4 linked regions of the Pelodiscus sinensis genome follow. The protein of the gene in region 2 purifies or fractionates together with the protein of the main gene of each other region. This does not show direct contact. Links are inferred from orthologs where the notes say so. Each region holds a gene or a part of one and is shown on either strand. Other genes may lie near its edges. The genes, in order: DHX30, HNRNPA1, ACTB and NGRN.

Region 1 (7,997 bases), on a different chromosome or scaffold from region 2:
GTGCTGCCTGGTTGGTCTGGAGCGGCGCTGCGGGACCAACCCGGCAGCCCCAAGCTGCTCTACCCCAGGGGTAGGCAAGAAAAGCCTGGTTGCTGGGGGGGGCACTAGCTGCACCCCCCCCCCAGCAGACCAGGGTGGCGGGACCGCCCAAGTCCTCCACGGCTTTGCTCCGTCGCCCTGGTCTGCTGACCTGGGAGACGCGGAGCAAAGCAGCAGAGCACGCGGGCAGCGGGACAGTCCAGGCACGCCGCAGCTGTCCCACTGCTGGTGTGCTCCGAGGCTTTGCTCCCCATCTCCCTGGTCTGCTGGTCAGACCAGGGAGACGGAGAGCAAAGCCTTGGAGCACGCCAGCAGCGGGACAGCCCAAGCGCGCCGCGGCTGTCCCACTGCGGGCGTGCTCCGAGGTTTTGCTCCCCATCTCCCTGGTCGGAAGACGGGGAGCAAAGCCACGGAGCATGCCCGCAGGGGGACAGCTCAAGCATGCCCGGGCTGTCCCGCTGCGGGCGTGCTCCGCGGCTTTGCTCCTGTCCCCCTGGTCTGCTGGGGGGGCCCAGCAAAGCCGCTGGACCCCCCCAGCAGACCAGGGAGACTGGGAGAAGCTTTTCTCACCCGGGAGGACACAGGTGGCGACCCGCCGCCCGTGAGCTCCGGGGCGAGAAAAGCCCTGTTCGTAAGTGCGGATCCGACATAAGTCGGATCCGCATAAGTCGGGGACTGCCTGTATATGCCACAGTCGACCAAAAGGAAAGCTGGTTGTTCTCTTAAAAGGAAAAGAAAATTAAGTGGCCAATTAGAGACAAAGAAGATTTTTAAAATTATTTGCAGTAAGAGGTATTTATAAAACATTTTCCCTGCTGGTTTTTCTTGTCCCTTTTGTAAGAATTTGCAAAGTAGAAACCCACAGATATAAATCTAAAAGGCACACTGTCTTTTTTTAAAATGGAATGTACATGTAAAGCAGTCATATGACAGCAATAACCCTTCCAGTACACTTTTTGGGTAGAGGAAGGCTCTCAGCCTTTGGCATTATACCACACCAAGCATCCGTGCACATTATATCAGCTTAATGTTATGTCTGTGCCATGGTTTACAATCATATTTACAAACCTCCTTGAAAGATACAAAACCTTTTTATAAGATTGTGAGGTTTTGATACTTGAAAGTTGTAAAAACTTTTTACAAAGTGTGAGATTTTAAGTGCATAAGTCAACCCTGAATGGGATAAGGATATTAAGAAGAAAATAAATTGAAGTGAGTGTCTGGCATTGGAAAAGGTTCAAGAAAAGGCAACAAAAATGATGAGGGGTTTGGAACGGGTCCCGTATGAAGAGAGATTAAAAAGACTTGGACTTTTCAGCTCAGAAAAGAGGAGACTAAGGGGGGATACGTTAGAGGCCTATAAAATGGTGTGAAAAAAGTGAATAAGGAAAAGTTATTTACTTATTCTCACAATATAAGAACGAACTAGGGATCACCAAATGAAATTAATGGGCAGCAGGTTTAAAACAAACAAAAGGAAGTTTCTCTTCACTCAGCGCACAGTCAACCTGTGGAACTCCTTGCCAGAGGATGCGGTAATGGCTAGAACTTTAACAGGGTTCAAAAAAGAGCTAGACAGATTCATGGAGGTTACGTCCATCAATGGCTATTAACCAGGATGGATAGGAATGGTGTCCTTAGCCTGTTTTTCTAGAGGTGGGTGACAGGGGAGGGATCACGTGAGGATTCCCTGCTGTGATCCCTCCCTCTCGGGCATCTGGTATTGGCCACTGTAGGCAGACAAGACACTGGGCTAGTTGGACCTTTGGGCTGACCCAGTCTGGCCGTTCTTATGCTCTTATACTATACACTGAAGGAAGATATGCAGCTTCCCACATGTAATTTATGAAAACTGTAACACATGGGCAGGGCTTGACAAACGGCGGCAAAAGCCACTCGCCAGTCCCGCACTGTGCATGCACAAGAGCCTCCGGTAAATGGGGTGTGCGGCTGACATCTACTCACCATGGGCGAGTAGATTCTATAGTTTGTCAAGCCCTGCGCATGGGAATTCACGGGCAATAAGATTTCTTAACATCTAGCTCACTTCCACGTTTCGTTTGGTTTGGACAACCCATCAGTCCTCAGAACAAAACCAGTATGAGCAGTGGCAGGAACATCGAGGTACACCATGCCAGTTCTCTATACTGCTAGGAGAGCGAGGAGGTGATGTTTCCTCTCCGCAGCCTGTTCAGCTGATCCCCCTGTGCCGAGGTGCCAGGGAAAGGGCTATTTATTAGGATATTTTCATTCCACACAGGCTAAACCAGAAGGCCGGGAGACACAAAGGCTTTCACTCACGACCCGTTTCAAACGCGTGACCTTGAGGTGAAAGGACGCGGAGCCCTTCACCGCTGCCCCGAGCATCCCATTCACCCTGTTTGCCAATCGGGGGCCGAGGCGCGTCCAGAACACGGAGAGATTCACGTCCAGGAAGCGGCTCGTGTTCCCTCCAGAGCCGCTTCGGGACCCGCCGCCCCCTGGGCCCCACGCGGGCTCGCCTCCCCGCACCGGCAGCTTCGCGCACGTGTCGGGAGAGGCGCTGGGGCCGCACAAAGCCCCGTCCCCGCCAAAGCGAGCGGCCGGCGAGGGACGAGGCCTAATCGCCCGCTGGCCCCGCAGGTCGCTCCCCGGGCCCCGCTGCGGAGACCGCGAGGGCTGGGCCCGGCCCGCCGGGGCTCGCGCGCGCTGCCCCCCGGCTGGAGAGAGGGGCGCCCCCCCCGCCACAGGGCTCGGCCCCAGCGCCTCCCGAGCTCACCCTTCACCATGGCGCCGACGTCCGGCTCCTCTTCCGCCCCGGCCGCGGCCTCGCTCAGCGGCCCGCCCGCGCACAGGCCCCGCGTGGCGCCGCCCGCTGCCGGCTCCGCCCGGCGGTAGCGGCGGCAGCGCCGCGGCCCGGAAGCGCCGCTCACCAGCGCCAGCAGGAGCCGCCTGGGCGCCGCCATCTTGCCGAGGCCGCCCACCGCCGGCTTCAGGCCGGGCAGGGGCAACGAGGCGGGCGGAGGGAACCCGGCCGCGCGCAGCGGCCCCTAGCGCGCGGGGCGGCGCACTGCAGGCCCGGAGGAGCAACAGCGCCGCACCTGCCCGCGCCCCTGCGGGACCCATGCGCGCGCCAGGCCCTGCTGGCCGGGGGCATCGCCCGCCCCTCCCCCGCTGCATTAAAAAGGTGGAGGAACAGGCTGAGAAAGCAAGAGATCCCTGCCCACCCCGCAGCTGAGGAACAAGCCTGCACTGACCCTGCCCACACCTGTTCTGAGGCTTAAGAGAGAACTGCCAGGTAGGCCAGTAATGAAATAGAACAATCCTCCTCCCCATTTTTATTTCATATCCACATCAGACATTGTAGGAATCTCATTTAGCATCCGCTCCCCTTGAGTGACCCTGGATAGGAAACCAACTCTTTGTTTTATCTCTGGATCGCATGCAGATCAGTCAGAAGCAACACAAGAGAGAGTAAGCTATTTCAACATGTAAGAGGATATATTCTGAATACTACGTGAGCCTCAAAACAACCCCTTAGGTAGGTCAGCATCACGCACTTTTTACAAATGAGGAAACCGACCCACACCGAGGTTTATGAGAAACTTGTTCATAAAGAGAAAAAGTTAGTGGTGCTGCATATGGTACCCAAAAATTTCAACTTCCGGCTACTCTCTTTTAAAATACATGTTAAAGGGACACTGCCAACTTTAAAAAAAAAATCACTTCTGATAACTTTGAAACTAGAAGACAAAAAATGCATTTGCAATTTTCTTGGTATTTCATGCCACTCTGTGTATATTATCACCAGTGAGGCCAAATTTTAAAAACGACTAGCCAAAAGCAAGCAAGCAGAAATATCTGACTCCAAGAACTATACCAATCAGCAGGAAAGTTCCCAAGCAGGTTTAGTATCTGAAAGTAATTTTTTTTAAATTATATATCGACCATACTTCACTTCTGCAGTTGTAATCAAACTTCATTATTTTACTAACACCTTCAATACTAACATTTGAAAATTAAAAAGTTATTATTTAGGTTGGTCACAGTCTGTATTTTTCTCACTTTGAAAAAAATGTTTGCTCAATTTTAACAATTAAATATTTTCAGCATAAGTTTCTTAATACTGTAACATGTGGATGTCAAGTACCCTGTCGCTGCAGGGATGTTTTAATCCTTCCCCCCATCAGAATTTGTAAATTATCAAAATATTTGAATATACATGAAATCTAACACTTTGGGCTACAATTAAATTGCAAGTGCCTATTTACAGTAGTGAATTGTTTATATGTTAAATTGTCATTCATTAATCAGTAAATACTTTGCTTGCAAACCAAGATTATACATTAGCTAATATGTAAAAAATCATTAAGGGAAGTAAGACTTTCAACAAGTATATCTTCGCAGGGAGCTAAAAGATATCTGAATGGTTACGTTAGCAAGGAAAACCACATATAAAAAAAACTTAACAAAAGAACAAGTGTATTTGGAAGTTTTGAGCACACACTAAATTACTTGACTCAGCAGATGTGCATCTTAGGATATTAAGCCAATTAACTAACATTCTACCAATAATAAATATTTCTGAAAAAATCAGGCAACAAGAGAGGCACTAAAAAAAATGCAGAACAGACTTTCAAACACAAATACTAAAGCCATCCTGGCTGTTTGTTTTCCTAAAAGTCTAACTTCTATCCCCAGTAAAAGAATTCAACAAATACTGAGAAAAGTACAACTAGAGTATGATAACCATAAGCAGTACATAGCATCAATTCCTACACACCAAATATAGCCAGACAAATTCACCAATTAAAAAATCTGGTAGATGTTATACTAAACCCCATGAACTCTATCTTGAAAAATTATTTCAAATCAGTTTAACTAGTATAATTCAGCAGAAGTAAAACTTCTGGGGAAAATAAAAAGCATGTGTATGTAGAAAGGGGATTAATGTTAAATGCTGAGGTATCCAGTTTATTTATTGAAAATCTTCATTGTGATCTTGAAGGAGTAGGATATCCATTAAAGCAGGGGTTCTCAACCTTTTTCTTTCAGAGCCCTCCCCAACATGCTACAAAAACCGCACAGCCCACCAGCACCTATAAAAGCCAGGACTGGCATTAGGACAATTGCCTGGGGCCCCACAAAGGTACATTGCTCAGGCTTCAGCCCTGGGTGGCAGAGCCAATGGCCCAGGCTACAACCCCAAGGCTGTCTAGACTGGCCAGTTTTTCCGGAAAATCAGCCGCTTTTCTGGAAAAACTTGCCAGCTGTCTACACTGGCCGCTTGAATTTCCGCAAAAGCACTGACTTCCTACTGTAAGAAATCAGTGCTTCTTGCGGAAATACTATTCTGCTCCCGTTCGGGCAAAAGTCCCTTTTGCGCAAAAGGGCCAGTGTAGACAGCTCAGATTTGTTTTCTGCAAAAAAGCCCCTATCGCGAAAATGGCGATCGGGGCTTTTTTGCGGAAAAGCGCGTCTAGATTGGTAGGGATGCTTTTCCGCAAAAAGTGCTTTTGCGGAAAAGCGTCCGTGCCAATCTAGACGTTCTGTTCCGAAAATGCTTTTAACGGAAAACTTTTCCGTTAAAAGCATTTCCAGAAAATCATGCCAATCTAGACGCAGCCCATGTGGCAAGGCTTCTACCTTCTGCCCTGAGCCTCAGCGAATCTAAAGCTGGTCCTGTTTGAGCACTCCCCTCAAACCTACTCCCAGCGGGCCTTGAACCTCGCATTGAGAGCCACCACATTTAAGGAAAATTACAGATGATACTAAGTTGTTTTGAGTGATCCACACTCGTGGATGCAGAAATAATAGAGCCCTAAAGAAATGAGAACCGTCGGTGGAGAATACAATAATGAAAAAATGTAGTTGTACATCTGGGGGAGGACTATAGGAAACACATTCAATGGGAGGAGAAACAGTGATGCAGAAAATAAAAGGGAGAGAGTGTTCAGAAAATTAGATATAAATAACAGGGCTAGTGGTTTGTCACGGTAAATTAGACAATAATTCTGGTCACAGAAAAAAGGCAAGAATCGATTTATGGAAAAAATGCCAGCAGTCACAGGATACAATATTTCAACCAAAATGTCCTTTATTTTGCAATGAAAAGCGTTTAACAGCATTTAACTAGTAGTTTAACACCACTATCCTGCTGCTTGTCAGTTCAGACTCAAAGCAGCGAGCTGCTGCTGCTCCTTCTTCTCTCCTACATGAGCTTTTGCAAAGGGGTTGGCAGCTTTGTACAGAAACTTCTTATCCAGCTCTGCCAGCTTCAAGACTTTCCCCAAAGACTAGTAGTGTCACAGAATCCATGAAGTCCCTACCCCAGTCCAGCCATGACAAACCACTAGCCCTCATGAGGTGATGCTCTCCTTCAGCCTCCCATTCAGCCTAGATTTTTACTTGGCATCTCAAGAGTTTCCCACTGAAATACAAATGTCAAATATCATTAATTTGTTTTAATTATAGAATTCATGACTACTGATGCGCTTTTTTTTTTTAAGCTTGACATTGAAACAAGAATGGCTAATGAAACGTTATGCCACCAAAACAATGAATCCGAGGCATTTCTTCCCAGAGCAGGGAGGTAATAGACCCTCACTATGTTGTACATGTCTGATACAACCTTACCGGGAATAATGGATTGAGTTCTGAGTAGCTCATTTTAAGATTGAGTAACTGAAGGATATTCAAAATAAGCAACAAAAAATGACCAGTGACTAGAGGGACTGACTTATGATAGACTAGAAAGAGCTAAATCAACAGTATGGCTGAACAATGACAAAAGGGGACATAACAGCTGACATATTTGAATTATGTTAACACCGCAGAAAGTACAAAGGATGAAATTTAAAAGGAAAAATGCAAACTAATTAGAACTAAACTGGATGAAAAATTAAGTAACACACTGTAGGGAACAACCCTGCATTGTCAGGGGGGATGGACTGGAGAACATAAAAATTCTTTTCCATCTCCAGTTTCTGTATTTCCCTGAAATGTATCTCTCACTGTGTTACTTAATATAAGTACAGGTACTTGTGACATTAATACTTGTTCAGACAGCTGTCCCAGCTAAAAAATGATTTACACTGCTGCATAAGTACTAGATACCAAACTATTATGGTTTGGAAACATTTACTTTTACAAGCAGACACAAATTTTACCCTTGGATGTGAAGCTCCCCTTGCAGTTAAAAGGAGTGACATAGGACCTAATTCTGTTTTCCTATGTAATACATAACTTCCAATGTGGCTACTAATTTTCTCAAACATCCTTCCTTTTTCTTTGTAGCACATGTAAGCATGTATTGGTGGCACAAACACTAAAATGAATGAGAAATAACTCACACTGCAAGGCAGTATGGCACACCTGTCATATCATTCAGCATAGAAAAGAATGGTAAAATTATTTATGAACTGGATATCTTTGTCCAGAGATCTAGTGCTATAGCTGATCAGTCAAGAAAAATTAATGGTGAGAGATGAGCGCATTCCCCAAATCAACCAGTCCTTACCTTTTCTACATGAATTCAGCGAGAACATCTCTGTCAAAGTGAAAAGATCTGATTCCTAGGAAAGCAAGAGGATGGAGAGACAGGAAGTTAGAATTTATATTCCTCTCCGAAATGTCCAAGCCTCCACTAACTTTTCTGATATTAACTATATATTAGATGAAGAATACAGCTGAAGGTTGACCAAATTCCAGTCTGAATGATTGCATTCTGCTTGGCTATAGTATCTATTATGTGCTGTCTTAAATTGCTGAATAAAGTTGTACTCTGTAAAACAGCTACATTTCTATCACTAATGTTACATTCAGAGATTGGGGGAAGTATTCCCTCTAAATATTAGTTCAAGTTTGTAAAAACTTTGGAAATTTGCAGGATGACAAGTGCTACTGATTTCTAGTTATTCACATTTTAGACACTGAAAGTCCCATTGAGATTAAATACAGTATTTTAGTATGGGGTTCTT
Region 2 (7,842 bases):
TGCTTCAGGATATACAACTAAAAGGTCTTTAAGCACGTTGCAGGGACACAAACATTTAGTCATGTTTTAAAACAGCACTGCACAGTTATTAAAACAAGCAAATCAGCCTGCTGTTGCATTAGGAAGTGCTCAGACAGCAAGGTGCTGAGAGCCATATGAGAACTTAGGCATAAAGAAATTAAAGTTACATAAGGGTAAGCACAGGTTCCCATTACCTGGGCTAACTTAACATGTGCGTGTCAATAACTTGGTTTCCAAATATCACATTAACTGATTAAATGGGGGGGAGGGGAGGAGAGGAGAAATAAGCCCAGTATTTCAATAAGGCACATCCACTTCCACCATTAAATTCTCATTATCTTCAATTCTGAAACAGGTAAGCAGAATAGTCTCCTCAAAGGAAATGCTAAAGCACAGGATTCATTAACGAGCCGGTAACGGTTCATCGCATTTTGAAATCCTGCCTTCCTTCCAGAGAGGAAAAGGCTCTTTGTCCCTCATTAAACACACGGACAATTTTGCCACATGGACCAATTTTGGGGGCAAGGGTAAAGCAAGAATTCAGTATGAAAGTAAAGTACCTTTGATTTTTTTTTTTAAACTACTCTTGTAACTATAGAATAAAACAAAGACCCATTCAAAGTTTAGGAGTCCGCCAATAAAGATTTAAAACCACTTTGCTAGAGCATACAGAGATACAAATTCCATCTGCCCCCTCTGTTGCTACTAGCTTTGTATCTACATATGGAAGTTAATCCAGAACAAGATACAGTGTGTGAGAATTTCAAGTGAATTAATTACTTCTGATTAACTCTCTCTAGGGATACTTAGTCCAAAATAAGCATGCCTTTTTCAGGTTTAAACTAATCCAGAACAAGGCAGGTTTATTCTGGAATAAGTGCATCCAGACAGGGAGTTAAAATCAGGAGTAGTGAACCCATAGTAAACTGCAGTGATCTTGTAGTCATATTGGTCCCAGGATACCAAACAAGCAAGATGGGTGAGGCAGTATCTTTTATTGGATTAACTTCAGCTGATGAAAGACAACTGTTCAAGTATATGCAGAGCTCTTCTTCAGTTCTGGGAAAGGCATTCGGAGTGTTACAGCTAAATACAAGTGTAGAACAGGTAAGGAGTAAACATGTATTGCAAGCGGCCACTCAGGATACATCCACACTGCAGAGCTATTTCGGGATACCGGAAGTATCCCAAAATAGCTATTCCATGTCTATTGAAGCAGCCCGTTATTTCGAAATCAATTTTGAAATCACAGGCCGCTTATTCCGACGTCCTGGTAACCCTTGTTCCATGAGGGTTATGGGGCATTTTGGAATAGTGAGTTATTTTGAAATACACTCAAAATAAGCTATGCAATTTGCGTAGCGCAATTTGTGTAGCTAATTCTGAGTGAAGAGTGCTGTATAGACACACCCGCAGAGAGAAGTGAGCAACTAACTCTACTACAGTCACAGGACAAAGAAGAAACAGTGGGTTACAGATAGTTATGAGCCACTATAACTTCACATCCTGTCTTATTCCAGATTAATTTTCCCATGTGCAGACAAACCCCAGAGCCTGCTGTAGCTGCCCCACCCGTCCTACAGACGGGATGGTCCCTCATAATGACATTAGCCCACAAGGTCCAGGATGGGTCTGAAGGATAACTTGGGGGAGGGGGAGAGGAGGAGGGCTGGCTCTGGGCAGTAGCAAAGGTTGGCATCCCTATCCCACTCACAGGCAGCCTGCTCCACTCTGCCGCCATCTCCCAGTTAGCTCGCTCCACTTCACTGCAGCAGCAGGAAGTGGAGTGACTCTGGTTCCACTTCGCTGCAACAGCAGGAAATGGAGTGACTCAGCTAGGAGATGGGTAGCAGGGCAGAAGAGAAAATGCTGCTGGGTACACAGTGGGGGGGGGGGGGGGGGGACTTGACCCTTGCTGCTGCCCTATGCCAAACCCCCTGTAATCTCACAGATAGCATCACCTGGAGGCAGGGGCTTTGGGAAAGGGTTGCATTGGAGGCAAGGCAGGGACAGGGCTTGGGGAAGGGGTGGAGTAGGGGCCGGGCGGGGCAAAATGGGTTGCAGAGCAGAGTACAGTTTGTGGCCCCCCAATCAGGCAGCCATGGATGGGCAGTTACAGAGGATGGTGAAGGTAGAGAAAGGAATGAGGGTTGTTTGAGGGGAGAAAGGGCTGCCTGAGAGCTATAGATCTTTGTGTGGGAAGATGAGGAGGGCTAAAGGGGGGGGGATGTTTTCAGGGGACAGGGCAGTAGAGCTGGGGGATTGTTTGCAGGACATGGGTGGGGGGAGATAGGGGAATTGCAGGGAATCTTGGGGAGGAAGTTGAAGGAGATCCCAGGGGGGTAGTGACAAGCATAAGAGGGTGCGTGGCAGAAGATTGGGGGGAGGATATAAGATCTGTGGTGGGCAGCTGGTGGGGTGAGTTGCAGAGGATTTTTCTGAGGAAGAGATTTGCAGGGGATCCAAGAGATGGACACAGAGGATGCAGGGCATTGGAGGGAGTGCATGAGGGGAGGTTTGCAGGAGACTGGGATTAGCAGGAATTGTGGTTAGTGGGATTTATAGATATCCAGGAGGGACTGAGCAGTAGGGAACAAGATGTTGCAGAGAACCAGCTGGCTTTTAGCTCAAGCTGCTGACACACTAATCCAGAGGTCCCAGGTTCGGTTCTCACTAAAACAGCAGGCAAGTGGGGATAGGGAGAACCCCAGATGAAGGGCTGTTGACAGAGAAATGGAGGGGATCTCAGGGAAAAACAGCAGGGGAAGGGTTGAGGGGGAGCACAGGGACTATTGCAGGGAACAGAGGGGCTGAAGGACAGGACAGGGCAGGGCAGCTAGTACAAGGGGTAGGAGCAGCATGAGAAGCTCGTGGGGAGTCAGCGAGGGGGGCTGCAGGAGCAGTGAGGGGCTGACAAGGATCTGGGTGGGAAAGGGAGGAGGAGGGGCGGGGGGAGAGGGCAGCACAGGAGATGTGGCAGAGACAGAGCTGAGAAGTTTCCAGGACAAGGGAGCGCAGGAATGCGGGGCGGGAGCAGAACGAAGGATTTACAGCGGGACTGCGGGAGGCCGGGGGGGAGGCGCAGAGAGGGGATGGGGGGCACAACACGGGGGGGTTGTAGCACGGGGGCGGGGGGGGCACAGGCCGAGGAAAGGGCAGGGTGGGGGGGGCAAGGCAGAGGCACGGGGGGGAGGCAGCGGGGGGCGGGGCGATGGGGGGGCACCGCCCGCGGGGGGGGCAGGGCGGGGGATGGGGAGCGGGGGGGGCAGAGGCCGAGGGGGACGCGAGGGGGCGGGGCTCGGCTCCCCCAGCCCAGACTCGGGGGCGCGCCCCGTGTCCCAGCCGCCTCCCCCCCCCAGCCCAGAGCGGGGCGCCGATTGTCCCGCCCATCGGGAGGAAACAACCCGACACCGCGCGCCCTTTGGCCCGCCGCGCCATCAATCAACCGGGAAGGCCCCGCCCTTTCCCCCCAGGCGGCGCCCCATTGGCGCAGCCGGCTGCCACTCCCAACTCCCGCGCGACGGGCACCAGCACCCCCCACTGCCCGTCACGCGCCTCTGCCCCGCCCCCGCCCCTCCATTGGCCGGCCGAGCTGTCCGTCAGTGGCCGCGGGCCCGCCCCCTAACCCCTTTCATTCCGCACAATGAGCCCGTCTCCCCCTCCGCCCCGAGCCCAGCAGCCCGATGTCCCGGCTCAGCCGCCCCGCCGCCGCCCGGGTACCTGGGGACGAAGCGGGTCCGGCGCGGACTCCCCCCTCTCGCAGGCCCTCAGAGCCGAGGCCGCTTCTGCGCAACGCTCGCCGCCCGCCAAAATAGCCCCCCTAGCGCGCAGGCGCCTGGCTCCCCGCACGGCGCATGCGCGGCCCGTCCTCTCCCTCCCCCCGCCTCTTCGGGCGCTTGCTCCGGGTTCCGCTAGCGCATGCGCAGACGAGCACCTGTGGGCTTTAGTCCCTTTTTCCCGCAGGCTGCCAGGCAGGAGCCCGGCTCCGCACGTTCCACAGAGGCAAAGCGCGCGGGCTGGTGCTAGGGAGAAAAAGCCGCTCGCCCCCCGCCTCAATGGGAGCCGCCTCCGCCCCCACCCGAGTGATTGACACTGCCGCCATCCAGTCAAGTCCCACGTCTAGCGGCAGCAGCCAATCACTGCGCAGATTAGAGCGGGACTGTCCATGAGCGAACCAATCAGAGGCGAGCTACAGCCTCTCGCCAGTAACGCGGGAAAAGGTTGGGGGAGGGAGGAAGGGAGGGAAGGCACGCACGGCCACGTGATGCGTCAATAGGCGGGGCTTACGCAGGCTTAGCCAGTAGGCTGTAGCAGTGGGTGGGTCACGGATCTCCTCCGCCAATGAGATGTGTCGGCCTCTCGTGGCTATCCAATCGGAGGCGGGGAGGGGGTGTGCCCCGACCGCCGCCTCCAATGGGAGCGCGCGGCGGGCGGGGCTCTAAGAGGGGGCGGTGGAGTGAGGCGTCGACGCTCTCGTCATTCAGCCCTTTCTGTATCGGCGCCTCGCGGAGGAAGCATCGCACGCGCAGCACTTCTGAGGCGGAGGCCCGCGCCCGCCCGCCCCCGCCATGTCCAAGTCCGAGGTGAGCCCGGCTCCGGCCGCCATTTTCTCCGCTCCCCGCCGCCGGCGCGGCCTCCCCTGGGCCCTGCTGGGGCGCGGACCTCGCCGCGTTCGGCCGCGCCTTACGCCTTTCAGGCCTGCTCGGGCTTCCGTCCAGCCCGCGGAGGCTCCCCCCCCTTCTGCGCCTGCGCCGCCTCAGCCTTCGCGCCTGCGCTTTACCCCCCTTCCCAGGTGGGCGGCCCTTCGGCGCCTGTGTGGTGGGGATATGGGGGGGGGGAGTGAGCCTCCCGCGCTCCCATGTGCGCGTGCGCGCCCGCCTTTGTGCAGAGCCGGAGGAGCGCCATGGCGGCCGGGCGAGCGCGTGGCGGGCCTCGCGTGCGCGTGCGTGGCGGCTCCCGCGCGCCAGGGCTGCAAGCCCTCTAGGGGGGAGGGGGGGTTGGTGTGCACGGGGGGGGCCCTCTGCGGGGGGAGGGGGAGGGGGGGTTGGTGTGCACGGGGGGGGCCCTCTGCGGGGGGAGGGGGAGGGGGGGTTGGTGTGCACGGGGGGGGCCCTCTGCGGGGGGAGGGGGAGGGGGGGGTTGGTGTGCACGGGGGGGGCCCTCTGCGGGGGGAGGGGGAGGGGGGGTTGGTGTGCACGGGGGGGGCCCTCTGCGGGGGGAGGGGTTGGTGTGCACGGGGGGGGCCCTCTGCGGGGGGAGGGGTTGGTGTGCACGGGGGGGGCCCTCTGCGGGGGGAGGGGGAGGGGGGGTTGGTGTGCAGGGGGGGGCCCTCTGCGGGGGGAGGGGGGTGGGGGGGTTGGTGTGCAGGGGGGGGCCCTCTGCGGGGGGAGGGGGTGGGGGGGTTGGTGTGCACGGGGGGGCCCTCTGGGGGGGGGAGGGTAGCCTGTAAGTCATTGTGCAATCTCTTGCTCTGGGCATCTCCTGGGGAGGGGGGAGCAGGGGACGGGCCCTGTTGGCTGCTCCTTCCTGACTCGTTTTTGTGCCTCTTCCCCAGTCCCCCAAGGAACCTGAGCAGCTGCGCAAGCTCTTCATCGGCGGCCTGAGCTTTGAGACCACAGACGAGAGCCTGCGGGGCCACTTCGAGCAATGGGGCACGCTGACAGACTGCGTGGTGAGTGCCTGGCCCAGAGCATCCTCTGGGTGTTAGATAATAACATTCAGATGTGGGGGAAGGACTCTGATTGCATGGCCCGGCTGCCTTTTTTTTTTTTTTTTTTTTTTTTTTGATGCCACGGGAAGAGCTGAATAATTTGTTTTTACTGACATCTGTAAACTACTGTTCCAGGGGAGTAAGGGGTCTAACGGCAAATTTAGGGTTAGACGGAATCCTGCAGAGGAATGGCCATGCTGTCCAGTAGCCTCTGTCTTCCAAGGGTGGCTGGTATCAAATGCAGTTTTAGAGGGAATGAGCAGAACAGGGAAATTACCAAATGATCCATGAGGTCCCAGCTTTGGGCAGAGGGAAAGTTGTAGGGCAAAGCTAGTGCTAAATAACTTTAGATGTTCCTTTGTTCTCGTCTTTATGCCACCTGTTTGATTCGTGTTATTTACTGTGGTTACTAATGGAGGTGTGTCCTTTCTAGGTAATGAGAGATCCAAATACCAAGCGCTCCAGGGGCTTTGGGTTTGTTACGTACTCTACGGTTGAAGAGGTTGATGCCGCCATGAATGCTAGACCACACAAAGTTGATGGCAGAGTTGTTGAACCAAAGAGGGCTGTATCCAGAGAGGTATGAATGAATGTTTAGTCTAACCATGCTGTTTTCATAGCCTGAAATTGGCTCACTGTTAGGATGAACTGATCCAGTGGGGCTCTGTAGGGAGGAGTTGAGGTTAAAGTGACCATAGTTTGGCTATAACCCAGGGGTTAAACTGAGGTGGGTCGTTTCCATTCTCTTTGTGGTTTGGGGAAAGCAGTACCCTGCTTACATTAATCGTGCTGTCTGTAACTGCCAATGCTGCGTTTCCTTGCTGTGCTGTCTACCAGAATATGTACTTAAAGCAGGACCACATTAGTAGTTACTACAGGTTGGACCTCCCTTGTCCGGTACCATTGGGACCCGACTGATCCCAGATGAGGGATTTTTCACAGGTCATTTCTGGCCCCCTGCTGTCTCCCCCACCCCCACCCCCTCGCTTTTTTCACAGCTCAGCTGGCTCCCACACCAGCTTTTGCCCTGCCTCTTCTCTCTCTCTCTCTCTTCCCCCCCCCCCCTTCCCTCGGCCAGGCTCCTGGACCCCCCACAGTGTGCCAGGACTGGGACATCTTGGAACATCTGTGGCCCGGAAGGGTTAGGGTTAAACCATTCTGGTTTATAGAGATGCATCCTGTACAAGTAATTGTAAATGGGGACCAGTTTAATTTGTGGTGGACACGTATCACGATTTTGCATTGTCTCTGTCTTTGAGCAATGGGACTGTTGCATTTCGAACCACTGTTTATGGAGCTCTAAAATTGTACATCTCAGATAATGCTTGAGCTTGCCCTCTGTCCTGTCTAGGATTCTCAGAGGCCTGGTGCTCACCTGACAGTGAAGAAAATCTTCGTGGGGGGAATTAAGGAAGACACAGAGGAACACCACCTGCGAGACTACTTTGAACAGTACGGCAAAATCGAAGTGATTGAGATCATGACAGACCGTGGGAGCGGCAAGAAGAGGGGCTTTGCATTTGTCACCTTTGATGACCACGACTCTGTGGACAAGATTGTTAGTAAGTTCTCTGCACAGCTCTGTGAACTGTAAAGATTGTATAGCATTGGAAGGGGACCCGTCCTGGGTTTCAAATCAGGACACGGTGACAGTTAACGTCTAATTCTTCCCTTCCAGTTCAGAAGTATCACACTGTGAACGGCCACAACTGCGAAGTGAGGAAAGCCCTGTCAAAGCAAGAAATGGCCAGTGCATCATCCAGTCAACGAGGTGAGTGCCAGTTTCCCATCCATTGCTTTGGAACTCATCCAAACCGACCTTTGGCAATATGAGCCGTGCTGCTAACAGGCGCTGCTCTCTTCTTTAGGCCGCAGTGGCTCTGGGAACTTCAGTGGTGGTGGCGGCCGTGGAGGTGGATTTGGTGGCAATGACAACTTCAACCGTGGCAGCAACTTCAGTGGTCGTGGTAAGGGACTTTATGGGGTCCTTTTGATTCAAGTTCTACGGATATGGTCAGGCTAACAAAACTCCAGTTTCGGCCCCTAGGTTAACCCAAATGGCTGCTGCAGTTTTGGCTATGGATATTTTTTTAACTTGATTTGGGCACTGG
Region 3 (7,734 bases), on a different chromosome or scaffold from region 2:
GCCCTTGCTATCTGCCTGTGATCAGCAGCCTTTGTAAAGAATCCACTTTGTATTCAGGAGTCTTGAACTCTGACTTCTGTCTGCCTCAAAGGAAACGACAGAAGCCAAGCTGCTAGCTACTTGTTATGGGCCCAACTTTGTGGTCCTTGTGTAGCCAAATTTCCCATTGCGTAAAAAGGTTTGAAGGTTCAAGGGTTTTGTTATTGTTTTCCCAGTGGTTCCAAGTAGCTTTCTGATTTGCTCCAATATTCCTGGAATTTAGATGAGTCTCTTTGGCCAGTACGTCTCCTTCCTTAGTTTAAAAGGATCCCACTTTCATCTGCCATCCATCCCATCACACTTCACCATCTCTGCACCAGTCCCCAAAGACAAGGGAACTTGATGAAGTTCTTTTACAGTGCTGCTGAATCGATACACTTCTTATCTAAGGATTCTTTCACTCGCCTCTCATGAATCCTGATGTTTCTAGTGCCTCGTTAACATTTATCTCCGAGCCCCTTGCTCCTTTCATCCTCCCTGACTGTGAACTGCAACAAAGCAGATGTTGACCATGTCAGCCTCCTTCAGGGTTCCTGTTATTGGAGGTCCCTGTTACTTTTCCCCAATGCATTGAAGAGCTTGTCTGGTCAACTCTCCCATGTAACCTTTCCCCTTGCCTCATTTTATCCATTGGCAGACATCACACATCCAGGCCTTGGATCATCTCCTATTTGACAAATAATCTTCATCTTAACATCCCCCATGCAGCCTTTTCAAAGCAGTGCCTCAATTAATTACTCTCCTCGCAGGTGGGTAATTAACCAATTAGCTCCATTTTACTGATGAGGAAGTTGAGATGCAGACAGATTAAGGGACTTGACCAAGGTTACAGATAAAGTTAATGGCAGAGTCAGGATTTGCACTCAGGAGTGCCCAGTTCCCAGATTTCTATGCTCTTTCTCCTTTCCACCCATCCTTAAGGAAAACCCTGAGGTTTCTCAGTATCCTTTATTTCATTCCTTACAGCTGGACAGTTTTGGCAAGGTGCTTTTACACTTACCAGGCTGTATTCTTATGTTCGTAAGAGGTGGCGCAGGGTAGGTTTGTAAGAACATTATCATTGGAAGCTGAGTGACTCTTTGCATGTGGATATGGTCACAGTATTGTCTAAAAGCCCATTCATAGTGGTCCATTGTATCCCATGGATTTCCTGTCATAGCGTAGTTAACAGAGCACATTCATAGTGTAATATGAGAACCCTCCCCTGGGTGTGGTCGGCAGACTAATGGGGCATACTCATGTTCTTTCAGGAAGGTTCTTTGTACCATCTGGGTTCTCCTGAACAGGGCACACACGGTGTGAACCTTCAGACCCTGACAAAGTTAGTACAGACCTAGGGAGCCCTCTCACTGCTTACATGGTAATGACACAAAGTGCCAAATTTTGCGCTCAGTTACAGCAGCGTACATATGTAGGCACTCCGTGGCCGGTACTGGAATGACTCTGGATTTGCACCAGTGAAGCTGAGGGCAGAGTCTGGTCCAACTTTTCTACATAGCCGCGTGACTCGAGCTAGCGCAGAGTTTGGAAAAGAGCATCCAGCACATGGTAGAGACAGGATGCGCCTTTCACAGCTATGACATAAAGATACCCTCAAGTTAACCTCCACCTTCCTCCTGCCCACGGTAAGAGAGGTCCAATGGCTTCTGGTGGCAGTAGCAGCAGTTTTCCTGGTGTTACATGGAAACTCCCCTCTCCAACTTGGCCCTAAGAAAAGGACCCCCCCATAAATAAGGGGCTCCCAAGCAGTGAGAGTCTGGGGAGCATATTACCCATTTACCTGGAACCCGAGTTTGCTTACTATTTTCTCCTCACTGTGCCACCCTTGACTCAAGCTAGAAATCACTTGAGGCTTGAACTCACCAACAATACAATCCTGCATTGGCACCACAGGCTGCTCTCTGGGCACCTCAGCCCTAAGCCCCAGGAAGAAGAAAGGAACCAAGGACCTCCCCGACTCCTCTGAGAATCCTGCAAAATGCTGGCCCCGTTCCAGGCGACTGCTGGATGCAGACCCTCTGCATGGGGGTGAATTAAAAACCATAGAACATAGGAAAGCAATAGGAACAAGAGCTGGGCGCAATCCGTAAATGGGTTGTTATATCCTTATATCCACCCCGAAGGTAACTGCAGAGCTCTGTTTTGAGGCAGTTTACACCGCTTCCCCTGTGCTTTCTTCCCTCCTTTGTTCCACATGGCAGGGCACAGATACCAGGATACAGCTGAGATAATGTACTTAATCTCCGCAAAAAAACTCAGCATGCAGGAGCAACATTAAATGACCAGAACAGCGATTCCCTTTAAGGCCTCCTGTTAATGGAATGAAGGACTAGTCAGTCCTGCTCATCTTTACTCAGGTAGACTTTATCCACCTGAGCAATCTCCTTGATTTCCCTGTGACAAAGAGCTTTCAAGGAACAGGCTGCAAAATTGTCACAGCTCCCCTTTCCATGACATGGCACCCTATCACCCTCATTGTCCCCCTGCATCTGCACCTCACCTAAGTATATCATCAGGGCTAGCTTCTTTGGGGCATTCCTGCTTAAAGGTACCAGTCGGAGGCATCTGATGAAAAACACACGTTGTTAGCATTTTCCAGGGGACTTTGTGTTTTAAACCACTTGCTGGTATTCAATCTGAAAGGACCTACATTTAAGTAATTAAAACTGAAAGTTTATACAGCGCGTTGAAGAGGCAAAGTGCTATGTGATTGCCAGGTATTGTATCGGTTATGATGGCCTAGCCTTTATTCTGAAATGTTTCCTCATAAGAATGAAACCCAGAATTGCGGAAACACAAGACAGTGAGGAAAGTTCACACAAAGACATGTTTCGCTTGGCACCATACAGCTAAATGGAAAAGGAACAAGAACTACCACTTGCATGCAGTTGGGTGGATACAGGCCTCCATCTGCAGAGAGCTCATGCCAGGATCAAGGCCTAAGACAACAACTACTAAGCATTACTCAGACTAGTTCTTCACTCTTAACTTAGGTTGGTATAATGATGTTGTTTGAGGGTATGAAAAATCCACACCCAAGTGGCATTGTAATAGAGACTAAGCACCTGGTGTAGACACGGCTACATGGACAGAAAGGCTTCTCCCAATGACATTAACGATTGTCTCTCATGCAGATGGATGAATGACGCAGACTGAAGAAGCTCTCTTGTTAATGTCGTACCTTCTTCGCTGAAGCATATCCGGGGGGCAGATTCACCCTTGCAGCATTTTACATGTAGACCTGCCCACCAGTGGGTGGGATTCACAAAGGTATTTAGGTGTCTAACGGTGACACAGAACAGGCAGATCAGGTGCTGGTATCACGTCAGGTGGATTGGTAAGTTACTGTAATAGTCCTTGGGTGAGCTAAAGGGCCACTTTCACTCATGTGGCCTCAAGAGCAGCTCCATTGTCCCCGCTGCCTTGTGGGACAGTGGGGCAGGAACATTTTCAAAAGTGGGGGTGCTGAGCCCCCTTGACTCTGTCTGCCTCTACCATCCAGCTGAGACAGAGAGTAAAGCCCCGAGCCGGGAGGGTCGGGAGCTGGGTTCCCAGCTGCTACCCCATACGCCAGGGGCTTTGCTGCCCCTGGAACGCGAGACTCTAACTGACACCCCAGCACATGGGGCTGGCAGCAGAGGCCTTGGTGTGCGGGTGAAAACCTGGTGCATGGAGCGGCAGGAGCTAGGCCTGGAGCCTGTTCCCACATCTATGAATGGATTGAATTTGCCCCATAACTTCAATTTTAAATGGGACTCTGTTCTGAAGGATGATTATTTGCCTGGTGCCAAAGGCACATTAATAGTCCAGTGAATGGACAATAGGGTCTGCTTTCCCTTGGCCCTATGGCCCAAGAGGTATACCCCCACTACAGGGCTTCCTTAGCGGCTGCAACCATCTGTCTGCCATGCCCTTTCTCAGCCTGGGGTGTACGGGATATGCCAGGGGCAGGAACGTTGCTGCTGAGTCTGCTCTAATTTCACTGGGGGAACAGGAAGACCCCTTGCACATCCCCACAATAAGCCACCTTTGCCTTTAACCCCTTCCTGCACTGAGCGGGCCTCAGCCAGTCCAGGGGAGTGGCTCTAAACATCCCTGTCCAGAAGACCTTATACTGTAGTCAAAGGGCCAGTGGCAGGTAGCACCAACACCAAGCATTTCTTCCAGGAGCCAGCCCTCCGCTCTGCAGCGTTTGCAGGGTCAAACTCCTCTTTTCCGCTGACGTGCCAAGCAGGGGAGGTTGTTTGAAGGGGATGTCTCGGGGGCCACCGGGCACCACACGACCCAGCAGGCTACGCTGGGTCCAGGATGGCCAATGTAGGGACACAGTCAGACCCCAGGCCTGGCGAATCACAACGGCGTGGGCCCCTCAAAACAGCAGGGAGCCCTTTCCCCCAGCAAAGCAGGTGGTGCCTGGGCAGGACAGCCAGGCAGCCTCCGCATGCACGTTGTGTTATGACTCCTGCCTGCATTGCTAGGCACTGAGCTACAGCTCACGCCTGCAAAAGGAGCAGACTGGGTACAGCACCCACTGGCAGCCGGGAGCGCCCTCCCCCACCCCGCCTGCTTCTCTCTTTTTTTTTTTTTTTTATTACAAGAGGAGGAAAAAAAAAACTGCTGCAATGTGCAAAGCGCTTCGGGAGAGGGAGCGCGAACGGGCCAATCAGAAGGGCTAGCTTCGAAAGTTGCCTTTTATGGCTCGGGCTCTACCGCTCTGGCCCCATAAAACCCGGCTCGCACGGCGAGCTTCGGTCGCTCCGAGCTTTTTGCGCGCGTGCCTGTTCCCCCAGCAAGCCGGCTGAGCCGCCGCTTTTTTTTTTTCCACCCAAGGTTTAAAGTTGCAACTTCCCCAAGGTAAGTGCAAAGGGGCAGGAGCCTCCTCTGAAGAGCCCTTTTCCTGGGGGGGCAGGCAGGGCGGGCTGGATTTGGACGGGCCCCCTTTTTAGAGGGAAATGCCTGGGGTTTACTAACAAGCCCCCCAAAGTGGCTGAGTTTTGATGGCTTCCCATTCAATTGATCCCGGATCAATTCTGCTGGCGCTTAATGTTGGCGGCCGTAGGGGAAAGTCACTGGGGGGCTGGGGTGGGGGTTCTTTTTTTTTTTTTTTCTTCTTCTTTTTTTAAATATTGGTTGTTGCTCTTCTGGCGAGTCGCCTTTATTTCTGCTCCTTGCAAAGCCTGACGTGCCCCAAGCAGCAAGCACGTGCCTGGCTGCGCGTTGGTGGGGTGAGCGGTGGGTTTGCGCTTCCTGGCCCCACTAGCCTGGCGAGGGGCGGGTGGGTGGGGTGGCGTTTGCCCCAAGTTAACCTTGAGTTGGTGGGCGCCGGGAAAGGTCTCCCCTGTTGCAGCGGTGCTGCGTTCTGGGGCTGTAATCGGGCTTGCGGGTCTGTGCCTAAGAGGATTTGTGGTTGGAGTAGAAGGTGAATTGAGGGGGGAGGAGGAAGAGTGGTTTAAAGCTAATCGTCTTCCTTTGCATGGTTTAAAGAAGCTAGAGGCGATGGGTTTGGCGGAGGAGTGAGGCTGCCCAAAGGGGGCTTGGGAGTGAGCATCTCTTCCCCCACTTGAAAGGGGGCTAGAAGAAAGCTGGAGGAAGGGGGGTGTTAGCAGCGGCTCTGAAGCTCTGGTAGGGTGTGACTCCACAATTGGTGCTTCCGGTGGCAGAAGCCGGTACTTCTATTGTATTAGCTCAGCACATGCTGGGTAAGGGTGGGGGAGGTGGAGGGAGGATCCTCCCTGCAGAAGGGTGGGGGGAGACATGAATCAGTCTCTTGGCCCAGAGGCTAAAGGAGGTGGGAGGCAGAGGGTCTCTTTGTCTTGTTGAAGACACAGGGGATGCTGCTGAGAGGTCTGCCTCTTCCCCCCCATCCTATAGGGCAGTTGCTCTGGACACCCCCCCAACCCCCCCCAAAAAATACCCACATCAAGGACCTACATTGTCCTGCATTTTGCTTCAACTACCCAAGACTAACACGGCTACATTTCTATCACTATTCCACATCAAGGAACACTGCAGGCTCCTCTCTGGATTCCTGAGGGGCATTGTCCCTAGTGTCTGGGAAGGGGTGGGGTCCAGGTTGGCTAGTGTCTGTAGCCTTGGCACAGAATAGCTCTTGGTGTTTCTGCTTGAAGTAGGGTGAAGAAATGTACCCCCCCTTATTGCTGGCTTGGCTTAAAGAAAAAGGAACTCACTCCAGCCAAGCCTCTTTGCCCCAGACAGTGAGGTGTAGGAACTAAATTTCCCAGAATAAGCTTGCTAGGATGTCGGGATAGGCACAGGTGGGGGGTGGTCCTGACCCTCCAGTGAGCCCATGGATTTGCTGGTGCTGGTGCTGCCCTTCCTGAGTGTGACAATTGCATAACACTCTTAATTCTCTCTGGCATTGGCCATTTTCATCTGTCACTCTGTGTTAAATGGCTTTGAGGCTTAGCTGGTGGGGAGCCTGCAATTAAACTTGGCCAGCTAATTAAATAAAGATATAGATCAAGCAGGCTTCTTTCTGATGAAACCTACTGACCCATTTCTAAATGCCTCTGGGATAATTAATGCAACTGCTTGTAGGTCTGGTATAAGTCAGAGCCAGGGTATTAAGCAAGGTGGTTTCCCAGGAGAAACTGTTTCTCTGCAGCGGGGTGTGGCGGGTAACTTCTCCTTTTTTAAAACTCTTTCAGTGTTGTCCTGTTAACTCTGCTTCAGACACCCTAGTGCTAGACCCAGGCACACTCCCTCTGTCTGACAGGGAGTGGCCACAGCCATATGCTTCATTTGAAAAGGGAGGGGAGTGGCTTGTCTCTTTAATCAGCCCTCCCAAAGCTGGCTCCATGCCCCATTACTGGCTTCTTGCAGAGCTTGCTCTAACCATTGCCTTTTATGGTAATAATATGAGCCTCGAGCAGGGACTTCCTTTGTCCCAAATCTGTGCAAAGGCAAAATATGTAGAGCTCTGCACCCTCTAGTGGCTGAAAGGGAGAAGTCCAGCTCACAAACAGGAAGCTAGAAAGGAAATGGGTGGGGAAGGCAGCCCCCTCAGCTTGCTCACAAGCAAAAGGCTTGGCTTACCCTTTCCGGATGGGGGTTTCCTCGCAAACTGCACTGCACTCACAGCAATTACAGGCTCTTCCAGGAATCTTGGGGCGGGGAGACTTGCAAGGAAGCGAGACCTCTATTTCCTGGCTAACCACGCTTGCTCCCTTTACTTTACAGTTCGCCATGGATGATGATATTGCTGCGCTCGTCGTTGATAATGGCTCCGGTATGTGCAAAGCCGGTTTTGCTGGGGATGATGCCCCTCGTGCTGTCTTTCCATCCATCGTCGGTCGCCCCAGACATCAGGTATGTAATGAATGGCATCTTGCCTGTATTGTCTGATAATTCAGAGGCAGAAGAGAACAGGGCATAGTGTGTATAAGATACTGGGGACCTGTTAGCTGTGCAGGAGGAGTGAAAAGCTTGGCTTGTCTGCCAGGGAAAGTTCTCTGTAGCAGTGGCCTGGTTTAAGTCCATTCTATAATGCTTTAGCAAAACACTCTTAAAGCAGTCCTACGTTTAGTCAGCCAGTGGGTTGGTATCTTGAGTATTAGAGGCAATTAAAGTTGATTTCCCTTCAACTCTCCTCTTCCACAGGGTGTGATGGTTGGTATGGGCCAGAAAGACAGCTACGTTGGTGACGAAGCCCAGAGTAAAAGAGGTATCCTGACC
Region 4 (7,646 bases), on a different chromosome or scaffold from region 2:
CTGGACAATGCTGGCTGCGGGCACTCCCTGGGCCCCGGAGAGCCCACAGGCAGGGCTGCAGTGAACTCAGGCGCTTCCCAGCCTGTTCCAGGGGGAGCAGCCCCAGTCGGCGAGAAACTTGCTGGGCTGCGCGGGCCAGCCGGAGGCTCCCCAGGCCGCTGGAAGCCAAGCAGCCTGCTCCCCTTAACTCCAGGCGGGAGGGGAGCCAGCCGTCCGGGATTCGCTGCCTCCGTCTGTCGGGCTGAGCCAACACCCGGCCTTGTGCTGGGGATGGGGAGATTGCTCAGGGCTCAGCTCCCCTCCTGTCCGCCATGTGCTGGCAGGGTACACGCTTCAGGAGAGGGTCAGAGCAGCCCAGCCTGCTGGGGGGGGGTGGCTGGCCCTGGCCCTGGCCCTGGCCCTGGAAAGGGGCTTTGCTTTGGCAGACGTGCAGCGCAAGGGGCAGTGCCGGCCGGGTCAGTAGCAATAAGGTACGAGGAACAGGCTGGGAACCGCGGCAGCACAAGTCTCTGTGGCTTGAGGGCTGCGCTGGCTCGGGCCGTGCTCGGGCGGGGGCTGGGAGAGGTTGTGGCTGGGGGGGCAGGTCACACCAGACACTCCCGACCCCCCAGGAAGAGGAACACAAGTTGCCTTTTCTTTCCCGCCAGCCCCGGTTCCTCCAGGACGTGTTTGGGAGCCGGGAGACGCAGCGACTAATGACCCTGGTGCCCCTCTCGCTGCAGGGAAGCACGGTGCGCGACCTAGGCCAGCAGATCATGCAGCAGCCGGCGGCCAGGGCCCAGATGCTGGGCAGCCAGGGCTTCATTCCCAGCCTGCTGGGCACCAGGTCGGGCATGGGCCAGAGCCTCCCCTACCGCGTGCAGCACAGGGCGCAGCTCAGCCACGGCCTGCAGCCGCAGAACGCCAGCTGGCTGGGGAGCCAGGCCCTGGGCACAGCAGTGGCCGCCGAGCGCTGCACTCTGGCCAAGGTGCCGAAGGAGGGAGGCCGGAGATTCTCCAGCGCCAGGAACAAGGTGGAAGGCTGTGAGTACGACACGGGGGGTCGGCCTGCTGCTGGGCCGTGCAAAGCAGCCTCATGCAGGCCCTGGGCCCCAGGACCTGCTGCCTTCCAGGCCTCTGGGGCCCCCCCAGGTATGGCCTGGTTACCAAGCCCCTGGCATCCTCTGGCACAGCTAGCGAGATGGCCGAAGGGGTCTGTCTCCTGCCTCCCACCGAGATTTCCAAGGTCTGGGTGCCACGGGTCAGTGTGCCTTAGGGCTGGGGCCAGTCCTCAAATCCCCCAGAGGGGCCAGCGGGCACCCTCCTCTAGCAGGGCTCCCGGCCCCTCTGGCTGGCTGGCTCTCTCCCCCCGTGTCCTCCGGCCCCACCTGCTGCCCCGGGCAATTTAACACCCCCACGCTGCAGTGCAACGGGGCTCGAGCAGCTTCCGACTCCCCGTGGGCCAGGGCAGGTGGGTGCAGAGCCGTCCCCTCACGCGGGTTGGCCCGCGGGCCTGAGCAAACGGGGGCCAGCAGCAGGGGTGGGACCGCTGCACTCACGGTGACGGGGGGAGCCACACAGCAGCCGTGTCCCAAGACAGGCCTCGCCAGGCCTGGGGCGCTCTGCTTCCCGTCACCCCGGAATGGGACTCGCGGGCCAGCAGCCGGGCCTGGGCCGGGAGCTGGAGAGCCCTGCCCTGCTCTCCTCCTCAGGGCTCCGGCAGGGCGCTAGAGCTCAGAGACCCCGGGAGTCCCGGGGCGACGGGTCCTCCCCTGCCACTGCCCGTAGGCCCAGAGCTGGAGCCCAGCCCGCGTGGGAAGGGGGAAGGCAGCAGCCGTGATAGCGTCCGAGGAGAAGGGGGAGAGGGCTGGGGGAGGCCCGGGCTTGCCAAAGTGCCCCTTCCCACAGCGATGGCCAGTGAGACAGGCCATACCCAGTGTGTTCCCGGCCAGACTCCTGAGGGGGCACACTCAGCCCTGCACCGTGCCACGCTGGCCTGCCTGCTGCGCTCAGGGCTGGCAGGAGAGGCGTGGGGGGCAGGGTGTTTATCACCCAGGGTGCGTGGCCATGTCGCCAGGCGGGCTCCAAGCCAGCCCCAAGGGGCATCCTTGGTGTCCCTCCTGCTGCTCTAGCCCTGCCTTGTCCCTTCTGTGCTCTCCTTTCAGATGGCACCTTCCCCACGGTGCCCGACCCTGAGCCGCGCTGCAGTCCACGAGCTAGCCATCAACTCTGCCTCAGCGCCCATCGTGCAGCGCGCCCACGCCCCGCCCCGGGCCAACGCCATGTCCATCCTCAGCTTCCACCACCACAGGTATGGCCCGAGCTGCCCCCCGCAGCTCTGCCCCGGTGTCCCGGCCGGCTTCCAGGTAGGGGACGTTCTTCACCTCCCTGCCTGCCAAACGCCTCTCGTGGAGGGCTGCCATCAGCAGGCACGTCCCCACGCCAGCCCGGGCTGCCTGTTGGAGCCATGGCCCGTAGGCGTCGCGAAAACACCGCCAGCTGGCTGAAGGCCATTGGGAATGAGACCCTGCTGGTGTTTTCGCCAGGCCCTGGGGTCCTGCTCCACGAGTCGCACTGCTGGAATCTGCCCAGAGCGCCTCCCTTTGGCTTCAGCAAAGCTCAGGCACATGCCAGTCCCGCAGCCAGGCAGGGGCATAGCCGGCTCTGGCACTGGTACATGCGAGCGAGCCGCACCCTGGAGTGCTGCTGGCTGGGGCCGTGTGCGTGGAGGAGGGGTCTGACCCCAGGGTTGCTTGTCTGTCTCTGACTGGCTGAGGCGGAATCGCTGCGGGAGAATTGTCACTCTCCCTGGCCAGAGCATGGTCCCTGCTCGCAGGAGCAGGGTAGAATTCCGGGGGACCCCTCTGGAAGAAGGGTGTTTCCATCTCAGGGGCTTTCCCGCCATGCTGGCCAAAGGTCCGGCGAGTCGGGAGACTGGGGCCGAGCAAACAGCTGGCGTGAGAGGCCCCGGGTGTGGGGAATTGGTGGGTACCCTGCCCTCTGCTCACAGCAGCCACCTCCAGCAGCGTGGACAGAGCCCAGCAGCCCTGTGGACCACGCAAGAAGCTGACAGGCGCTCTGGGCCCTGTCGTTTCCTCATTCCCAGCTGTTCACCTGAGCTGTGGAGGGGAGGCTATGGGTTCTTTGCCGGCCAGCTCCTATCTGTGTCTGTCCCCAAGCAAACCCGTGTCTCATCGGCGGTCGCTTGCCTCTCCCCAGGAATTGGACCTGAGCCTCAGCCAGACCATCTCTGGGACGAAAGGGACCAAGGGCCTCGGGACTCCGACAGCCAAAGGCCATGGCTGTGCCAAAACCAGGCTTTCTTCTGCACAAAGGGAGAACCCCTCCTAGGGCCAGGCAGACGAGGGAGTCGGGACCCCAGGCCTGCTGCGGTGACTGGCGACTAGTGACGAGGAGCTGCTTGGAGTCACGGTGCCGGCGGACAGAGCTGTGTGCACACGGTGCTTCCTCCTGCCAGCCGACCTTCACCCGCGAGCTGCAGCCTCCCTCGCACACCTGCTGCCCGGCCACAGGGCTGCGCGACTCTGTTCCTTTGTATTGGGCTTAGGAAAGTTTTATAGTTTTACAGTCGCCTGTCAGTCTGTCCTGCCCGGGAGGGACCGATTCCTCGGGGCACAGCAAGTCACAGGGCGGACGAGCGCCAGGCTCCGGCCGGAGCCACTCGGACCAAACGCCAGGCGACGCCCCGGCCAGCAGGCAAGTGGAGGGTCGGACCCTGCTCTCGACAGAGCCTCCGGCCGGCCAGCACCAGCGCTCGCCTCCTGCGGACACGGGTGGGGAACAGGCCCCGCCCACCCCCTGCACCTGCCCGCTCCGCAGCCCCACCCCCCGCAGCGCCCTGCCCACCCCCTGCACCTGTCCGCTCCGCAGCCCCACCCCCCGCAGCGCCCCGCCCACCCCCTGCACCTGCCCGCTCCGCAGCCCCGCCCCCCGCAGCGCCCCGCCCACCCCCTGCACCTGCCCGCTCCGCAGCCCCGCCCCCCGCAGCGCCCCGCCCACCCCCTGCACCTGCCCGCTCCGCAGCCCCGCCCCCCGCAGCGCCCCGCCCACCCGCTGCACCTGCCCGCTCCGCAGCCCCGCCCATCCCCTGCACCTGCCCGCTCCGCAGCCCCACCCCCCGCAGCGCCCTGCCCACCCCCTGCACCTGCCCGCTCCGCAGCCCCGCCCCCCGCAGCGCCCCGCCCACCCCCTGCACCTGCCCGCTCCGCAGCCCCGCCCCCCGCAGCGCCCCGCCCACCCCCTGCACCTGCCCGCTCCGCAGCCCCGCCCCCCGCAGCGCCCCGCCCACCCGCTGCACCTGCCCGCTCCGCAGCCCCGCCCCCCGCAGCGCCCCGCCCACCCGCTGCACCTGCCTGCTCCGCAGCCCCGCCCCCCGCAGCGCCCCACCCATCCCCTGCACCTGCCCGCTCCGCAGCCCCGCCCCCCGCAGCGCCCCGCCCACCCCCTGCACCTGCCTGCTCCGCAGCCCCGCCCCCCGCAGCGCCCCGCCCATCCCCGGCACCTGCCCGCTCCGCAGCCCCGCCCATCCCCTGCACCTGTCCGCTCCGCAGCCCCGCCCCCCGCAGCGCCCCGCCCACCCCCTGCACCTGCCTGCTCTGCAGCCCCGCCCCCCGGCCTCGTTCTCGGAACCGCCCCGCCCATCCCCGGAACCTGCCTGCTCCACAGCCCCGCCCCCCGGCCTCGTTCTCGTTCTCGCAACCGCCCCGCCCACTGGCTGCTGCTGGGCTGCGCATGGCGGCGCCGCGAGGGCTGCGGGCCGCGGGCCTGACCCGCCTGCTGGGCCGGGGAGCCGCGGGGCCGGGGGACCCCGAGGAGCTGGAGAGGTGGGGGGGCTGGGGGACAGGGGGCGGGGCTGGCGGAACGGGGGGGGCTGGGGGACAGGGGGCGGGGCTGGCGGAACGGGGGGGCTGGCGGACAGGGGGGGCTGGGGGACAGGGGGCGGGGCTGGCGGAACGGGGGGGGCTGGGGGACAGGGGGCGGGGCTGGCGGAACGGGGGGGCTGGCGGACAGGGGGGGCTGGGGGACAGGGGGCGGGGCTGGCGGAACGGGGGGGGCTGGGGGACAGGGGGCGGGGCTGGCGGAACGGGGGGGCTGGGGGACAGGGGGCGGGGCTGGCGGAACGGGGGGGCTGGCGGAACGGGGGGGCTGGGGGACAGGGGGCGGGGCTGGCGGAACGGGGGGGCTGGGGGACAGGGAGAGGGGCTGGCTGAACGGGGGGGATCTGGGGGACAGGGCAGGAGGGGCTGGCGGAACGGGGGGGCTGGGGGACGGGGCGGGGCTGGCGGAACGGGGGGGCTGGGGGACAGGGAGACGGGCTGGCGGAACGGGGGGGATCTGGGGGACAGGGCAGGAGGGGCTGGCGGAACGGGGGGGCTGGGGGACAGGGCAGGAGGGGCTGGCGGAACGGGGGGGCTGGGGGACGGGGGGCGGGGCTGGCGGAACGGGGGGCTGGGGGACAGGGGGCGGGGCTGGCGGAACGGGGGGGCTGGGGGACAGGGCAGGAGGGGCTGGCGGAACGGGGGGGATCTGGGGGACAGGGCAGGAGGGGCTGGCGGAACGGGGGGGATCTGGGGGACAGGGCAGGAGGGGCTGGCGGAACGGGGGGGGCTGGGGGACAGGGCAGGAGGGGCTGGCGGAACGGGGAGGCTGGGGGACAGGGCAGGAGGGGCTGGCGGAACGGGGGGGCTGGGGGACAGGGGGCGGGGCTGGCGGAACGGGGGGATCTGGGGGACAGGGCAGGAGGGGCTGGCGGAACGGGGGGGCTGGGGGACAGGGCAGGAGGGGCTGGCGGAACGGGGGGGCTGGGGGACAGGGGACAGGGGGACAGGGCGGTGGGCTGGGGCAGGGTGGGGGTCCTGGGCGCACTCAGCCCCTCTGTCCTCCTCCCCCCAGGGCGCTGCAGCGGCAGAGGACGGCGGTGCGGCTGAGGAGGCTGCGGAGGGAGCTGGAGCCCACGGGCCCGCCCCCACGCAGCCTGACTTGGCAGGCGATGGAGCAGATCCGGTGAGCAGGCCATGCTGGCCGGTGACCCTGGGCCGAGCGCCCGGGGCTGGGGGCTGTGTGGCTGGGCCTGCCTGACGGCCTGGCGCTTGCTCTCCCGGCAGGTCCCTGCGGCAGGCCTTCCCCGAGGAGTGGCCCGTGGCCCGGCTGGCCCAGGGCTTCAGTGTGAGCCCTGATGTCATCCAGAGGGTGCTGAGGAGCACGTTCTGCCCCTCGCCGGAGCGCCGGGCGAAGCAGGATGCAAAGGTGCTGGGTCCAGAGGGGAGCCCAGACCCCACAGCTCAGCTGGTGGCCAAGTCTGCAGGCGAAGGCGCTCAGCAGCTCCTGCCAGCCGGGCCCAAGGACGCCTCCCTGTGCAGAGCCCCCCCCGCGCCTGGGGGCCAGTCCAGCCGCTCCCAGCCACAGAGGAAGGGGCAGAGCAGCAGGAGCTCCCGGCTGGTGCCTCTTCAGGCGGATGGAGCCAGGCGTGAGGCCGCCAGCAGGAGCGGCTCCTTGGCGGCGGGAGCCACGGCGCGGTGGGACGGTGAGGTGCGGAGCGAGGAAGAGCTGGAGGAGCTGGCTGCAGAAGGCTGGGACGCCGACGCAGAAGTGGTGCGGAGAGGCCAGGAATACTTCGACAGCCATGGGCATTTCCTGTACAGGGTCCCTTCGAGGCTGGCGCATGGAGAGGGAGGGGGGCACAGGCAGCCCTTGGCCCAGGCTGATGCCGAGGCTGGCAAGGAAAGGCAGGAGTAGGGGCGGGTGGGCCTCTGACTGTCCTCCCTGGGCCGGCCGGCTGGACTCTCTCTGGGCATGGTGGAGATGTCTTTGTAGGGACGTGGCACTTGCTGTGCCGGGCCTGGCCTGCCGTGCATGGCGGGGACTTACACCGGCAGCCTGGCTCAGGCTCCGGCCATGCTGCCATCGTCCTGGGCGGGCCGAGAGCTTGCCTGGAATTGCAGGGGAGCGCTGGGCAGGTGGGTAGGAGGGACCAGTGGGGTGGGAAGGCCGGGCCAAGCTGAGGTGCAAAGGGCCGGGACTCCCCAGAGCTGGTCTGTGCTGTGGGTCTCTGGGCGGGGAGAGAGGGTCTCTGCTTGGGCCAAGCTAGGTTCTCAGGCCCGTTCCTTTGGGGGCTGTGCAAAGAAAATAAAAGGTTACAAAGTCCTAGCTGTCTCGGCTGAGCCTGCCCTGGGGGTGCTGCTTCTGTCCCTTTGCTGCCCCGCCTCTGGCACCCTCCTGCCCCAGCCAAGGCCACCTGGCTGTGCAGCGGGTGCGTTACTCTGGGGCGCTGAGCCTTCAGGCCTCAGGGAGCAGCTCTGCAGCTGGCTGGGCAGGCTGGTTCAGACTCCATCTTCCTGTACCCGGCAGAACGTACGCTGGGAAGGGGGATGCAGCGGGGAGCCGGTGGGCTCTGCGCCGGGATGGGGGGGAGCTGGTAGGCTGTGCGCTGGGAAGGGGGGTGCGCCGGGGGAGCCGGTGGGCTGTGTGCCGGGATGGGGGGGAGCTGGTAGGCTGTGCGCTGGGAAGGGGGGTGCGCCGGGGGAGCCGGTGGGCTGTGTGCCGGGATGGGGGGGGCGGAGCAGGGGGAGCCGGTGGGCTGTGTGCCGGGAAGGGGGGCGCCGGGGGAGCCGGTGGGTTGTGCGCCGGGAAGGGGGGAAGCCGGTGGG

Evidence for each region.
Region 1: the proteins of HNRNPA1 (region 2) and DHX30 purify together in Homo sapiens (affinity purification with mass spectrometry; 3 studies listed by BioGRID and IntAct, with this or other methods). This does not show direct contact. The link is inferred for Pelodiscus sinensis from reciprocal best matches to the Homo sapiens genes HNRNPA1 and DHX30.
Region 3: the proteins of HNRNPA1 (region 2) and ACTB fractionate together in Homo sapiens (co-fractionation; 3 studies listed by BioGRID and IntAct, with this or other methods). This does not show direct contact. The link is inferred for Pelodiscus sinensis from reciprocal best matches to the Homo sapiens genes HNRNPA1 and ACTB.
Region 4: the proteins of HNRNPA1 (region 2) and NGRN purify together in Homo sapiens (affinity purification with mass spectrometry; 3 studies listed by BioGRID and IntAct, counting the BioPlex papers as one, with this or other methods). This does not show direct contact. The link is inferred for Pelodiscus sinensis from reciprocal best matches to the Homo sapiens genes HNRNPA1 and NGRN.

What each region holds. Positions count from the first base shown.
Region 1 is NC_134712.1:256,903,609-256,911,605, reverse strand, and holds the start of DHX30 (ATP-dependent RNA helicase DHX30), read right to left. Parts: upstream 3,009-7,997; 5' UTR 2,985-3,008; coding exon 2,798-2,984; intron 1-2,797.
Region 2 is NC_134729.1:1,217,388-1,225,229, forward strand, and holds the start of HNRNPA1 (heterogeneous nuclear ribonucleoprotein A1), read left to right. Parts: upstream 1-4,831; 5' UTR 4,832-4,879; coding exon 4,880-4,963; intron 4,964-5,575; coding exon 5,576-5,692; intron 5,693-6,164; coding exon 6,165-6,311; intron 6,312-7,082; coding exon 7,083-7,293; intron 7,294-7,409; coding exon 7,410-7,502; intron 7,503-7,599; coding exon 7,600-7,698; intron 7,699-7,842. UniProt on the Homo sapiens protein: Involved in the packaging of pre-mRNA into hnRNP particles, transport of poly(A) mRNA from the nucleus to the cytoplasm and modulation of splice site selection.
Region 3 is NC_134726.1:31,385,188-31,392,921, reverse strand, and holds the start of ACTB (actin, cytoplasmic 1), read left to right. Parts: upstream 1-4,732; 5' UTR 4,733-4,893; intron 4,894-7,239; 5' UTR 7,240-7,245; coding exon 7,246-7,368; intron 7,369-7,659; coding exon 7,660-7,734. UniProt on the Homo sapiens protein: Actin is a highly conserved protein that polymerizes to produce filaments that form cross-linked networks in the cytoplasm of cells.
Region 4 is NW_027466005.1:39,790-47,435, reverse strand, and holds NGRN (neugrin), read left to right. Parts: upstream 1-4,666; 5' UTR 4,667-4,731; coding exon 4,732-4,823; intron 4,824-5,892; coding exon 5,893-6,003; intron 6,004-6,104; coding exon 6,105-6,735; 3' UTR 6,736-7,143; downstream 7,144-7,646. Other genes in the region: tubulin polyglutamylase TTLL13, read left to right, coding at 648-1,023, 2,145-2,290, 3,199-3,330. UniProt on the Homo sapiens protein: Plays an essential role in mitochondrial ribosome biogenesis.